Astyanax mexicanus: one gene and its partner. Each later gene encodes a partner of the first gene's protein in a complex. Links are inferred from orthologs where the notes say so. Each region holds a gene or a part of one and is shown in the gene's direction. Other genes may lie near its edges.

Region 1 (8,103 bases):
GCCATTTAAGGGCTCTGTCACTTTTATGCAAATAAGCTTTTGCTGTTGATGTCACAATAAGAGAGTGATCCAAATAGTTCAGAGAAGCATATGATTCCTGAAACTCAACTCTGTTAACTGATTCACAAAAAATTAGTGGATGGACTTTTTTTCCAGGCAGCCGAGATCCAGGCGGAAACAGAAAAATTGAGTTTCGCGTATACTGACTGGCCAAAAAAAAGTCGGCACCAAAAATGTGTTGGACCGCCTTTAGCTTTGATTCACTGTAGCATTGTTTCAATAAGCTTCTGCAACGCCTCAAGATTTACTTCAATCCAGTGTTGCATTAATTTTTCACCAAGATCTTGCAGCAGCATTGATGATGGTAGAGTCTGACCACTGCACAAAGCCTTCTCCAGCACATCTCAAAAATTCTCAATGAGGTTAAGGTCTGGACTCTGTGGTGAACTCTCTCAATCCATGTGTGAAAATGATGATCTCATGCTCCCTAAATCACTCTTTCACAATTCCAGCCCCATGAATCCTGACATTGTCATCTTTGAATATACCCGTATCATCAGGGAGCATCATCAAGAAGAAATCCATTGATGGAATAACCTGGTCTATATTCAGTATATTCAGGTAGTCAGCTGACCTCATTCTTTCAGCACATACTGTTGCTGAACCTAAACCTGCAGACCAACTGCAGCATGAACCCCCACATCATTTACTTACTTAAATCCAGGTGGAGACTTTTTTTGGTCAGACAGTGTACATGACAAACAATTCAAAATATCCACAACTCTAGGTCACTCTAGGTAAGGAACTTGAAAAGCTGTAATAGGGTGCAGGCATGCATGACAAGAAGTAAAAAGTACAAATAAAAAGTGACTAAGCTGAAAAAATGTGTAGTCTGAAGTCTTATAAATATTATAAATAAAAGAAAAGAAAGTTTTAAAGGAACAAAGTGCACAGTATTCTGATAATAACCCACTTGTCAAGGTCTTCTGCAATGGCTTTTTTTCATATTACTAATATAATACATATACTATATAATATATAATTCTTCTAAAGCTGTATTACTTGGATCATAACTTGTACTATAACTATCTGTGCACCCCAGCAATGATTCATGACTTGAAGTCTTGGTGCCTTCTTCATTTTCCTGCTGCAAACACCCTCTATTGTCTGTTGTAAAAGCTGTTAGGGGCCTGTAAAAGAAAGCGGAGCTCAGCTGAATGAGAAGATGGGAAGATGGTGCTTGAGAGAGAAAATATTTATAAAATGTGTTGTTTTCTGATGGTTCATAACCCTGTCTTTGTGGCCAAATGATTATCATCACCTTGCTCATGATTCCTGTCCACTCATTCCTTTCTGCATTAGCATTAAAATGACCCTCTTCCTCCTGTCTTTGAGGTGATAACTGCCTTCCTATTCATCTTTGTTCAGCACCATATTCCCTTTTTTCTCGCTCCTTGGCTTCTTCATGCATTTTTTCCTTTCATCTTCATCTTCTTGCACCTTTTTCTTCTTCCCCTCACCCGCTCCTCAAACTCCTCTTCATCCGCCTCTTCTTCTCTCTCTCTATTAGAGTGCATATTAAACCCACTGAAAATATGCATTCTTTAGACTGGACCAGGCTGCTGACAGACTGCTGATCGACTCAGCTCTGCCCGTGCATTATTATCTGTCTGCACGTGAATAAAGGCGCCATCTGCAGATCCTGCCTCCTGACTCTTTAGTGCAGAGTGTCTGTATTGTGTTTCTGTTGGCAGAACTTCATAAACTAAACTAAAAAAAAGCTAAAAAAAAAAAAATGCACCTGGCCACCAACAGCGATAGACAATGTTATCTGATTAGAGGTAGGTTGTTATCAAGTGATCAAGTGAATGTCAGGACCATGTCAAATGCCAACGTCTCTTTGGTGCAGATGAATGTCAATGGCTAAAGCTAATATTTTGTTGATTTTAAGTTGTGATGTTAACCCTTGTGTGGTGTTCATATTTTTGTTACTCGTTTACTTTGTTACTTGAATTTAATTCAGCAAAATCAAGCATTTTTACATTAAAATGCTTTACACATGCTTGCTTCACCTAAATTGCAAGCAATATAAACAGCTTACATGGTTAATATTTGCCCTTTACCTTTCTTATGTTACATTTCTTTCAAAAAGTGCTACTCTTTTTTTTATTAGTTTTTTAATAAAATGTAAAAGAAAATTAATTTAACTCAAGATATGAGTAGAAAATTTCTTTAGTTTCAAATTTACAAATGAAGCAATGTTTATTAGCCCATGGCTAATTATCTTCCAAATGTCAAATGCCAACATTACACTGATATATAATACTGTAATGACCGGCAGGGGGATGAAGCAACAGGCAGCATGATCTCAGCAAAAGCTCTTTTATTGAACAGGGTACCGCTCCCTCACAGCTCTTAGCCTGGAGAGTAAAACTCCCAACCCAAACACACCCCCATAATGCTCTTAATTAGCTTAACCCCACCCCCACATTATAGGCTGACCCACATAAACATGAACAACTCGTTTTAAGATAAAATGTTGTTTATGTATAGTTATCAGTATAGTGTTATCAGAGTCTAACGTTCATTATTGCTAAATGTGTGAGTTTGATATCCAATGGAATTTCAACATTTATACAATGTTAAGTTTGACATCAATTAGATTTCCATTTTATTGTTGCTTTTTTTTGCGATCAATTATTTATTATTTATTTATTTATTTATTATTATTTATTTTCATTTTTATACACATTACCAGCAACAATGTACATTACAATATTGAAGAACAAAACAAAAAAAAAAATGAGGGTGATTGTGTATGCCACCCTCGAACTCCCTCCCCCCTCCCCAAGGCACCCCACCCCCATTTTACTGTTGCTTTTGATTAGTAACTAAATTCAGCATCTATACAATATTGGGTTTTATTGTAAATTTTCATTTTCAACCAATGGCATAAGGATCCAGCAATTTGTGATGTCTTTCTGAGGCATTTGATTGTCATCTGGTGTCTGTTAGGGAGTGTTTATCATTTGAGTTTTTCATGGAAAACATGAATCGAAGTACATGAATCAGCATGTGATCAATGAATTTCAATCATTTTACTCGTACTTTCATAACATGTTGATAATGAAGACTTTAAAACCATCCTCTGTTCAAGAAAACAAGCTAATGGAATATAAATAAAGATCTTACCACCTTATTCATCCTTCTAGAACCCATGTATGACCCCCCTCCCCCCCAGGCAAGGCATGAGGTCAGTAGAGTTGAGGATGACAGAGTGTGGCTCTGACATGTAAGAAGGTCTTCAGATCTGTGTTTTGTATGGAAGGACATCAGGTGCGATGCTTGTGAAACAGACACATGAAGAGAAGATACAATGACCAGGCCTGTTCTCCATCTGGGGACATTAACTGATTCATTGTGTGAGTTTTCTATTCCATGAACAAGTGACTGAAGGGTTTTTGAAGTAATTGATTCAGTCAGGGGTTTAAAGTGATTCACCAACTAAAAAAATACCAATTCCAAAGTGAGATGGAATAAAAATTTTGTGAGTGATGTCATGTTATAAACATGTGACTGAGTGAATGATTCAGTGAATGAATGGATCAACAAATTATAAAATGATTCAATGAATGAGTAAATGATTCAGTGAGTGATTCAGTGAGCAAATTAAGGATTTATTTATTAAGTGAGTGAATGGTTCAGTTGATAAGTGAGTCATTTAGTTAATGAGTGACTGATTCAGTTAATGAGTGACTAATTCAGTGAATGAGAGAATGATTCAGTGAATGAGTGACTGATTCAGTAAATTTATGTTGTGATGAGTAAATGAATAGATTGAATGAATAAATTATCAATTCACTGTAAATGGGTGAATGTTCTATTGAATCAGACCGAGTAGGTAAAGAATTCAGTAAATGTGTGAGTGAATTAGTAAATAACTAATCCAGTAAATAAGTTAACTGAATGATTAATTAAAAAATACATAAATGTGTGAGTGAATTAGTATCCAGTAAATATGTTTAGTGATTGAGTGAGTGAATAATTCAATAAATTAGTAAATGACTGATTCAGTAAATGAGTGGGTAAATGACAGATGTGATAAATGAGTAATTGAATAATCCAGTGTCTGATTAAGTAAATAAAAAAGTGAATAATTCAGATAATTGTTCAGTGAACAATTTAGTAAATGAGTGAGTGAATGGGTCAGTAAAAATGTAAATGACTGATTTAATGAAACAGTGAGTAATTGGTTCAGTGAAGGCTTCAGTCACATGTTATAAATATGTGAGTGAATGATTTAGTGAAAGAGTAAGTGACTGATTCGGCAAATTAATACGTAATTCATTTAGTAAATTAGTGAGTAATAATTTAGTTAAAGAGGGAGTAAATTACAAAAAAATCGACTCAGTGAAAGTGTACATAAATATTATGTAAATAAGTAAGTAAATGATTCAGTAATAGGTAAATAATTTGGTAAACGAGTAAGTGAATGATTCATTTAATGAGTGAGTGAATGATTCAGTTCATTACCTAAATGAGTGAATAAATGATTCAGTAAATGAGTGCGTGAATAAGTGAGTGAATGATTCAGTGAATGAGTGAGTGAATGCTTTAGTTCATCACCTGAATGAGTGAGAGAATAATGTATAAATGATTCAGTAAATTATTAAGTTAATAAGTGAGTGAATTATTCATATAATGAGTGAATGATTCAGTTCATCGCCTGAATGAGTGAGTGAATTAATCAGTTAATAAGTGAATGTATGGTGTATATGATGAGTGAGTGATGCAGTTCATCGCCTGAATCAGTGCGTTAAGGATAAATTTAATTGGTGACTGAGTGAAAGAATGAATAAATTAAATAATGGCTTTAAAGGACTTTAAAATCAGAGATTTTGATGAGAGAGATAACTCCCTGCTCTTCTTCACTCAGTCATTAAGCGCAACCTCAGAGTCTCTTTTCGAAAAGCGCCCGAGCCTGGGGTCACGTGCCTTTGGTGCGTGACGTCATTTCGCAGCATAAAACGAGAGAAACCCTGGGCGCGCGCGTGTGCGTGTGTGTGCGTACGTGTACGCGCGGGGCGCTGATGACAGGACTGGCCGCGTGAGGAGCGCCGGCGGACACTGCGGTGGGGAGTCAGGAGCGCGCGGGCAGATACACAGGTGTGCTGAGAGGTTAGAGAGAAAGAGAGAGAGAGAGAGAGAGAGAGAGAGAGAGAGAGAGAGAGAGAGAGAGAGAGAGAGACAGAGAGAAAGCGAGAGAGAGAAACAGAGAGAGAAACAGAGAAAGAAACAGAGAGAGAGGCTGTAGAAGTGTAGTGAGTGATAAACTGCGCGGATCTCTCCGTTCCTCACTCCGGTAGCTAGTCGTTATGGAGAGCGGCGTGAACGCGTCGGACGCCCCCCAGTTCAGCAGCAGCGCCGCGTTCTGCCGAAACTTCAGCGGCAACGCGAACCTCTCAGACCCGGACAGCAGATGCAACCGGGCGGGCGAGATAAGCGAAAGCTCCACTCCCGTGATCATCGCCATCATCATCACCGCCGTCTACTCCATCGTGTGCGCGCTGGGACTGGTGGGCAACGTCCTGGTCATGTATGTCATCATCAGGTAAGACGCGTGGAGTCACTCACTGTGGTTCTTTATTTCTCTCCTCCAAAAAAAAAGAATGAAAAAAAAAAAAACACAATAACTCTCACAGGTGTCCAGGTGCTCTGTTCTGCTCTGCTGCTTATGGACACATGGGGAGAGTGGGCTACCTGTTGAACCACTGTAAAGGTCTGGATTGGGAGTCAGTCCCTGCTGACGAACTCTGTTTTTGATACAGTTTTAGTGGTCTAATCTGGTATTTGGTAGTTTCATGCAGAAACAAGCTCTTTACTGGTGAGCTAGCTGCTCAACCAACTTATGTCCAGCATAGAGTTTGTTGCATTTGTTTGTGGTCAGACTGGTGGCCACGCTTGGCCTTGCTGTTTTTACTTGCTTTGTCTTTGTGGTCTTGTTGGTTGACCAGCTTGGTCTAGCTAGGTCTTGCTAGTCAACCAACTTGGTATTGATGGTCTTTGTGGTCTTGCTGGTTGACCAGCTTGATCTAGCTTGCTTTTGCGGGTCTTGCTGGGTGACCAGCTTGGTCAAGCTTGCTCTTGCAGGTCTTACTAGTCAACCAGTTGGTCTAGCTTTGTCTAGCCTGGTCTTGCTGGTCAACCAGTTTGGTCTAGCTAGGTCTTGTTGGTCTTGCTGGTCAACCAGCTTGGTCTTGCTGGTCTAGCTTTGTCCAGCTTGGTCAAGCTTGGTCTTGCTTGTCTTGATGGCCTTGCTGGTTTACCAGCTTGAAGTTGTTTTGCTTGGTGAGGTTCATCATGCTTGTAGACCAGTTAAAACCTCAAACTGAAATGAAAACATACTCTGTTCCGGTCAAAATGTAGACTGGTTAACCAGCTTTGAGCTGGCCATGCTGCTGTGTTTAGCAGGGTATTCTTACATTTCAGTGTTGTTCTGCAAGTGCCCAGCTGTAGAGAAGAATCTGTTCTTCCCTGAAGCTTTTCTGTATCATGCTATGCCACATGCCAGATATGGCTGTGTGTGTGAGAGAAAGAGAGAGAAGGAGAGAGACTCTATAAGAGTCAGTGCCTCATGAACTTAATGTCACATTAGTACAGATCACAATCACAAGGGAAATATAAACAAAACAGTATTACAGTGACATTAGCATCTGTAATATTACTCTGATGTGGAGATGTCTGGTGTGATGTGCATGTTGTAAACACCTATTAAGTTCTGTACTGTGAGACAGACAGTACCGGAGGGGACTGATTCCTTGACTAGAGTTGCATAGAATATTTGGCAAACGGAATTATTCAGCCATAAATGTAAAAAAAAAATGTAATTTATCCAGAATAATGGCTTATTTATGTTGTGGGATGTTAAAATGTTTAGTAATAATGCAAACCTGTAAAAAGAAACATGTTTGGTATTCATGTTTTGGTATTCTGACTTCAACCAGTTTTGCTCAGTTTCAAGTTTTGGTCAAACATTATTCATTTCTGTGCACCTGTAGAATTGAAGAAATGAAAATGGCAGTTAAATTGAATTATAAACACATTCTCTATTGTTCATTGTGTGTTTGGCCTATTCTAGAATTGCAGGGACATTTCAGGGATGGAAAGATTTGACTCATCAGTAATTCTGTTATCGCTGACAGTAATACATAATTTATGCCTTAAACAGAAATCTCATGACATGTTAAAACAGGCAAAGTCATTTGCATTGTACTTCATTATATAGATATGTTTATATGATTGCAGCATTCAATTTAATACAACATTATTAAATGTAGTTAATATTTTAAAGGGTCAGTTACAGATGTTATGTTTGCTCTTTTCCTATCTCTTATGTTGCTGTAGTAAAATCAGATCTGCTGTAGGGATACAACAATTAATAAATAATAGTATTTTTATATTATATATATTATTTTTTGTAATACATTTTTGATTCTCTCAAAAAAAGTATAGAATTTTAATTCATAGATTATTTATTAACATGTAAAAATTGATAGCAGACAGTGGTTCATTTCACTTTAAGTTAAAATCCCTCCAACTAGACCACCGTGTTGTGCAGATCTTACTGTTCTGATTGGATAAAAGGTGAACTCTACTTCTACCGAGATGTCATATATCATATAATCATATAGTAGTGTGTTTTTCACACCATTATATTTTTCCTACAGTTTAATAAAAAGAAAATGCAGTATGTTGTCATGCTTACAGTATTGCAATATATCACAATATATTAAATTGTATCCCCTTTATCATGATATGTATAGTATCGTCAGGCTCTTGCCGGTTCACCGCTCTAGTACGAGTCTATTGTTTTTTGAGCTTTGAAACACAGTTCCTAGTTCACCACTAAACCCAGGCGTGGTGTCCTGCATAAACATGAATAAACAGAGAGAGCTTAAGTCATGGCAGTTAGTAAAAGGCAGGCTTTTAATCAAATGTGGAGATTTAATAGGATCCACCATCTAGCACATACCACCAGACCCAGAGCAGTGTTTGTGTGCTGAGTCAGTTGTCTGAGTGATTCATTGTTTACTGATTCCTTCT
Region 2 (7,617 bases), on another chromosome or scaffold:
ATTCCCTGACTGAATTGGCTCTGGTCCTGATAAACTGGTTCCCTGTACACTTGCTGAATGTATATGCCTAATTTTAAGAATTTTATCAGATTTGTTAGCTGCTAGTATCAGATGTGTTTGAGCGTCTGATCTTTATGTTCTCCATAAAGTACAATATTTATATACATATATGAATAAAAAACTGTTTTAAGGCTCTGACAGCAGCAGTGTCTGCAGGCCATGTGTTTGTGGTGCTGCAGTGTAATCCAGTTATTGTACAGGGTTAAGGAGGTATTAGTGGGGGAACACTGGGAAAACACTCGCTATACTTTGTCTCAGCAAAAGCAGTATTAATAACATCCTGCAGCTCTGCTCTACACGTGCTCAAAACATTATTTAAAAGAAAATAATATAGTTGTGTGAGAGTGTAAAAAAAGGTTTACAGTTTACAGTATAGTTGTATGAAAAAATGAAGAGTAAAAAAGATCCACCATAACTTATCTTAAAAAAATATATATTTTTAAAATCTAAATAAAAAAAGGAGAATTTTTTTATTCAATTAGAACAGTAGGATCTATTGAGTACAACACTGCCCTCTAGTGGGCAAGGCTAAAACACAACACTAAATAAACCCCTTCTGACACCAATTTCTACAATTAAAGTAATATCATAATTAAAAATCAGTACTGTGTTTTTAAAAACGAAAAAAAAATATTGCCAAACAATACAATGTCAATATTTTTTACAGGCCTATTTGAAATTGTAATCATAAATGTGGGTGTATCCTAATATGTTTTCTGTCTTATGTCTTGTTAAAATATCAATTATATTTTATGAATCCTTTTTTCAGATTCTTTTTTTCTGACCTGTAACTCCAGAACTTTGATGCGATGTCTGTGGTTTCTCAGCTCCTCCTGAAGCTCTGAGATTGTCTCCTTCAGGTCTTGCATTTGCTGTTTGCGCTCTTCGTTCTCATGTAGCCAGTAGGAAACCTCGTCTGTGCAGCGGAACATGTCGGGACAGCGCTGTTCCTCCAGCTGGGGCAGCGTGGCCATCAGGCGGCACTGCCCGTTTGGCATCACCTCGTTACTGTACTCCCCGCACTGCATCAGGCCGCTGCTGATGAGATGCGTGTCTGTCTGAGAAGAGTCTGTTTGACTTGAATCCGATTCCTGATAGTCGGATTCCTGGGTGTCGGTGCTGCAGAGAAGCGTCTGGCAATACAGCAACCAGTACCAGTACCGGTACAGCAGAGTCCACTTCATCCTGCACTGGAGGAAAAGCCTTGATAAGGAACAATAATAACTTTAATTCTTTTTAATATACAGTTTTTACAGCATCTGTTACTGACTGATGTTCATTATAGGGAAATTTTAAGTCTATTCCAGTTATTCATTCATTTATTTTCCCTCAGATAAAATTCCACTGAATTCCACAGTAATTAAAATACTTGATGTGAATGCGATTAAATGTGATTTATTGAGATTAATTAGTCAGAGAATGTAATGAATTAGATACATTTTTAATTGTCTGAGAATAGTTTTTATGCGTTGTTCTCTGGTGCATTATATAATCATGGTTTATTAAGACATTAGCACCAATTACAACAGTACAAGTTACACAAAATACACAATGTACACAAGTTACAAAAATGATTTTACTTTTTATATGTAAATGTTTTAATTCCATAAACTACTTACAGCATTTCTTCCAAGTTCCAATTTCCAAATTCCATTTATTTACAGAAAAAGAGAAATGGTTAAAATAACAAAGGGATTAAGTGCTTTCAGACCTTAAATAATGCACAGAAGAAAAAGTTCATATTCAATTAGAAACAACAATAATAATGTTTTAGGAGTTCAGAAATCAATATTTGGTTGAATAATCCAAATATTTAACTTAATTAAATTTACATGCATCTTGGCATGTTTTCCTCCAGTCTTACATGCTGCTTTTGGATTATTTTATACCACTCCTGGTGCAAAAAATCAAGCAGTTTACCTTCCTCTTAATTACATTCCAGAGGTTTTGAAGACAAACTGCTTTATTATTTCAATATTTCTCATTAATGCTGAATTCTATACTTGAGGAACCGGCTGTTAACCAGCGTTTTTAAGATGTTGTACATTTTTATCTTTTCAGGATTCTCAGAAAACTGGCAATTATCATGAATAAAACATAGTGCTGTCAACATTAAAAATAATTTTGAAACTTTTTTATGCAAATTAATCACAAGTTTTACAGAGCCAGGTGACATATAAATAATAAAATCTCTTTCTCCCTCTCTTTTTCTCTCCATCTTTCCCCCTCTCCCTCTATCTCTCCATCTCTCTTTTTGTTTGATATTTTAGTTTTAACTTTTATTTTACATTCTACCTAAATGTTATACATTCATTTGTTGTTTGTGTTTTATATATTCTACCGGTATTTGTTTTTTTATTTTATTATTCATTTTATTATTTATACCCTGTAGTTTGATGTGATTGCATTTCTCTGCTAGTTGTTCTGAGTGTGATTTTATATGTGACAAATAAAGTTTTAACTTGTATTAAAATCTATTGGGAGACATTTCTACCACTAAGTTTCCATATTAAAATAGACCGTAGTGTTTACAGAAGTTACAGGAACATATAAGTGTAGAAAAGCAACGTTACCTGATTTCAGCAGAGCAGCTGGCGGCGAGGAGAGACGGCATGACCCGTCTGTTTCCCCGAGAGAGAGAGAGACTCTCGGCCGGGCCGAACGTCGTTCCTCACAGACATCTTATCCCATAATCCTCTTTAATAGGATTCCTACAGCAGAGCTTCTGCAGTAGGAACAAAAAGTGGGGGGCAAATATGGTAATATGGGTTTAATATAGTGCTGGATGATATGGCCAAATTTATATTACAATATATTTCTTAATTTCAGTGATATATTTGTAATGTGGATAGGAACATTGTAAAATCTGTGCTGTACATCACACACTGGCACTGCCAGCCTACAGTATCTATAGCATATACAACACTATATACAATCTATAGCATATACAATCTATAGCTCTTACAACACTAGACCAGTTTAATACAGCGGCTCCCTTATTTACTCTAAACATTTTAAACTATTACAATAATGTATATTACAAGTGGTAACAGTTAAGCTGGAGATGGTTAGAGATAAACAGAAAACGTTAAGCAGTTAACAATAAGTGTTAGGTGACAAGTGGTAAATATTGAGGCGGTAGATATTAAGCAAGACAGTAAACATTAAGCGGTAGGAGTTAAACATTAAGCGCTAGGCGGAAGATATTAAGAATTTTTTTCCCTAAAAAATCTTTTTTTATTTGTGTTTTATTTTTAGTAAGTTGTAAATGGGACAGACGTTCAGCATCTGTGTGTAAATATTGATGGTCAGTGGTAATCGTTAAGGGGTAGACAGTTAACGCTTAGTGGTATGTGTTAAGTAGGGGTGGGCGATATGGCCCTAGAATAATATCACGATATTTCATGGTATTATCGCGATAACGATACTCTTGGTGATGTGACAAAAAAATTAAAAATACACTACTGCAACAAAACGAAACTTACATTTTATTATTGAATACGGTATGATTTTGCACACCTCTAACTAAGATATTTTAAAAAACAAGCAGATTTTAGCAGATTTGTAACAGAAGTCAATGATTCAGAATGTGATGATACTACCAATAATAATGCACTCCATATATCTCCATATATCCAGGATTAAAGTAAAATAAATTATACTGAACAGATATAATATGTCTCTAGTATATATTTAATAGGAAATGGGAATAGTGTTAATTTTTCTTTTGCTTAAAACAGCCAAAAAAGTAGTACCCTGATGTGATAATTAGAGGTGGGTGATATGGCACGATATTTCAGGGTATAATATCGTTCACGATATTCAAAAATGTTGGCGATATTATCGCGTACGATACGATATGGTACACCTCTAGTGTTAAGTAGTAAATGTTTAGCGATTGGCAGTAAGTAGTAAATGTCAATCGGTAGGTGGTAGGCCTTAAACTTTAAGTGGAAGACAGTAAATGTTCAGTGGTAGGTGGTAAACATTAAGCAGTAGGTGGTGAGCGATAGGTAGTTAGCAGTAAACGTTAAGTGGTAGGCAGTAAATGTTAAGCGGTATGTGGTAAACGTTAAGCAGTAGGCGATAAACATTAAGCGGAAAACATTAAGCGGTAGGCAGTAAATGTTAAGCGGTATGTGGTAAATGTAAAGCTGTAGGGGATAAACATTAAGTGGTAGATATTTATCTTTTTTTTTCTTGAAAATGACTCAATATCTTTTTTAATTTGTGTTTTAATTTACAGTAAGTTGTAAATGGGACAGAGGTTTATCACCTGCGTGTCGGTGACCGGACAGACTGACGTATGGAAAATCAGTTGGAGTTAAAATTTCAGCTTTTATTATTAAAGTCAGGTAAACTGATCCTGCTGCCCTTCAGATTTTCTCTTTAACAGAGAACTGATAATCCCGACCGACCAGTCGCTGTGTGTGCGTCAATTTGTCGTGGCTGGATGGTCTGAATAGGTTGGGATTGGTCTGTGTGCGGTAATTAGTCGTGGCTGTAATGGTTGGGATTGGTCATGTTCTGATCTATGAGCGTGTCCTTGAGCACAGTGCGAGTCAAGGCTTATAAAAAGGAGCAGCCGGAGGATTCGGACCTCAGAACCAAGTTACAGAACGGCAGAATCTTCTCATCACTTCAATCCTCATTTATCATCAAAACAGGTGAGTCTCTGACTGCATCCATTTACATTAAAATCCTTCAATCAGTATTCAGTTCAATAGTTGCTTTTGTACAACTAAACTATTTTAGTAATGTTCTGTTTATAGGTACTTTATCTTTAGTTTGTTTTAGATCTTTAAATGACATCTATATTGATAAAAAGTTACAGTGGTATATTACAGCTGTGTATTAGCAACTTGGCGTTACGATGACGATACATCAATATATATTGCAATACATTGTTTACGATTTAAAGCAAGACCATATATTACAATTGTTTAAAAACGTTTTTTATATTTATATATTAAATTATATTTGTAAAATCTATATAAAAGTAAAGTTATTTTTTATCAAATCAGAACAGTGGGATCTAACAACAAAGTACAACACTGCTATCTAGGGAGCAGAGTTTAAACACTAAATTAACCACTTCTGATATTAATCTTTACACCTAAACTAACCATTAATAATTAACCAGTTTTAAAAAATGATACGTAATGAAATGAAATATCATGACACAGATATATGCTCATTTATGATGAATTAGTGCTGGTGCTGCTGTGGCTGAGGTTCTGAGGTGGTTTGGTTCTGCAGGTCCGGTGATGGGGTTGAGGATGGAGGCGTGTCCGGCATGGCTGCTGGCTCTGGCGATACTGTGTGCGATCGGCAGCGAGGTGAACGCCCAGTGCTGGGAGAACGGACCCTGCAGAGACCTCAGTTCTGAGGAACAGATTCTGGTGAGGCACTGAACTTAAGCTGACCAATTCTATTCAGTTTACCTAATCTTACTAATTTAATTCAATAACAAATTAGTTTATTAACGTTTTTTATTTTGGCCAAAATTATTTAATTTTTAAGTTTGCAGTGCTAGTATTCACCCTCCGGGCTTGGGGCATTACTAGTGACGGGGGAGTCCTAATATATGTAATAACATATTAACATATTAATAATGAAACACAAAAGATCAACAGATTATCAATCTAACTTTTACAGATAAAAGAAAGTATACTAATTATAATTTCCGGATGTTACTAGGGCTGGAACGATTATTTTAATAGTCGACTAATCTGTCAATTATTTTTTTCAAATTATAATCAGATAAAAACGCGGGAAGCAAAATTAGATTTTTATCTGATATACAGCCAAGGCGCTTTGCTTCCACGGTTTTCATTGGGGGTACCAACTGTACTTATAATATATCTACGTATAATTACGTAAACCCAACTAATCAGTTATTAAATTAGTTGCCAATTATTTTACTAATCAATTTTAATTGATTAGGTCAATTTTTTGTGGCAGCTCTAGATGTCACATGCTTAACAATATAGGTTATGCTTATTGGTTCAGATTTTGAGGATGCTTTCACCCTGCCTTGTCCAATTTGGAATTTTAGACTTTTCAGTTTGATCCAAACCAGAATAGCGTGTGTGTGAAATATACCGCCAACTATAGTCAAGTTTAGTGGATGATGATCCGGTCGGTTTACAGTGTGAATCCCCTTTATTTAATCAGACCAATTACAGGAAGTTGAGTCAGGCTATGGTCACCTATTAAACAAAAAAGAAGAAAAAGGAGAATCTAACACTGATTATTGTATTTACATTTAAATAACCAGTATTATAATCTAACCCTTAGCCTAGTCTCAAGAAGAAAAGGCGTAATTTATTTTTTTAAAATAATGACATGACATTGTTAATTTGCATTAATTCTTTCTGACTGATGTAGATGTCATTGAAAAAGTAATGATTGTTGATTTTTAAAATATTATTAAAATATTTTTTAATGCAAAGACACTTTGCTTTACACTAACTAAAGTTAGGGGACTGATTCAGAAATTCACTTAAAAATGTGTTTTTTTTAGCTGTACCAATCCATCAAAAATCAAATCAAAATAATCACTTTTTAATGACATTTCTTTATGTGGTGTTCATTACTTTTTGTCGTATTTCTCTGTATTTTGGTAGGGAGACAGTAATAGCTGTGATATAGCCTTTATTCTCTTCATTATAACAGTTAACCCCCTTTACGGGTTTCTAATGTGATGGGCGTTTCCAACGACACCACCAATTAGAGGCAGCAAAAGGTGGAGCTAGTGTCTCAGCCCTAAGTAGGCAGAGACTAGAGGCTTTTAGATTCTTTAACATAAGCAGCAGGAGTTTATTTTATTAACAATGGGGATTCTATACTTCTTTCTGTTTTCTCTCAGGACTGTATGAAGTTGTGTAAGTCTAATCTAAAGATGGAGTCTCCTCTGTTTCCGGGAGAGGGTCATCTCCAACCTCTGCTGGAATCGCTGACGGGTGAGAACCCTGCCGCTCTGCCCGACGAGGACGCTCCAGAGCCAGCAACACTGCGCGAGGACAAGCGCTCGTACTCCATGGAGCATTTCCGCTGGGGGAAACCCGTCGGCCGCAAACGTCGCCCCATCAAGGTATACACAAACGGGGCAGAGGACGAGTCGGCCGAGGCCCTGCCCGCTGAGATGAGGCGCGAGGTGTTTGGCGGGGAGAATGACTACCCCCTGGAGGACAGTCTGTTCAGCCCTTTTGACACCTTTGGCCCACAAGACAAGAAGGACGGTTCCTACAAGATGAACCACTTCCGCTGGAGCGAGCCGCCCGCAAGCAAGCGCTACGGAGGCTTCATGAAGTCCTGGGATGAACGGAGCCAGAAACCTCTGCTCACGCTCTTCAAAAACGTCATCAACAAAGACGGACACCAGAAGAAGGACCACTGAGGAACATTAGAGCAACATAAAATACAGTGTAGATAGTGAGAGAAAGAGAGAGAGAAAGAAAGAGAGGATGGGTTTTTATAATTCTCACTTTATAATACATTGATATTGATTGATATTGATATAGCAGCACTATTACACTGTACTACACAATAAAC

Evidence for each region. Proteins that work in one complex are often made in the same cells at the same time.
Region 2: the proteins of oprm1 (region 1) and pomca are in contact, whole or in part, in a cryo-EM structure (PDB 8F7Q), measured with the Homo sapiens proteins. The link is inferred for Astyanax mexicanus from reciprocal best matches to the Homo sapiens genes OPRM1 and POMC. Residues at the interface, in NP_000905.3 of Homo sapiens: Ser66, Met67, Ala70, Ile71, Met74, Gln126, Asn129, Tyr130, Leu131, Met132, Gly133, Trp135, Val145, Ile146, Asp149, Tyr150, Met153, Arg213, Ile217, Asp218, Cys219, Thr220, Glu231, Lys235, Val238, Ile298, Val302, Lys305, Trp320, Ile324; in NP_000930.1 of Homo sapiens: Tyr237, Gly238, Gly239, Phe240, Met241, Thr242, Ser243, Glu244, Lys245, Thr248, Pro249, Leu250, Val251, Leu253.

The regions. Positions count from the first base shown.
Region 1 is NC_064414.1:43,643,084-43,651,186, forward strand, and holds the start of oprm1 (mu-type opioid receptor), read left to right. Parts: upstream 1-5,039; 5' UTR 5,040-5,375; coding exon 5,376-5,611; intron 5,612-8,103. UniProt on the Homo sapiens protein: Receptor for endogenous opioids such as beta-endorphin and endomorphin. Receptor for natural and synthetic opioids including morphine, heroin, DAMGO, fentanyl, etorphine, buprenorphin and methadone.
Region 2 is NC_064421.1:29,040,614-29,048,230, forward strand, and holds the start of pomca (proopiomelanocortin a), read left to right. Parts: upstream 1-4,579; 5' UTR 4,580-4,594; coding exon 4,595-4,727; intron 4,728-5,319; coding exon 5,320-5,462; intron 5,463-6,931; coding exon 6,932-7,462; 3' UTR 7,463-7,617. Other genes in the region: angiopoietin-related protein 7, read right to left, coding at 846-1,263, 2,634-2,674.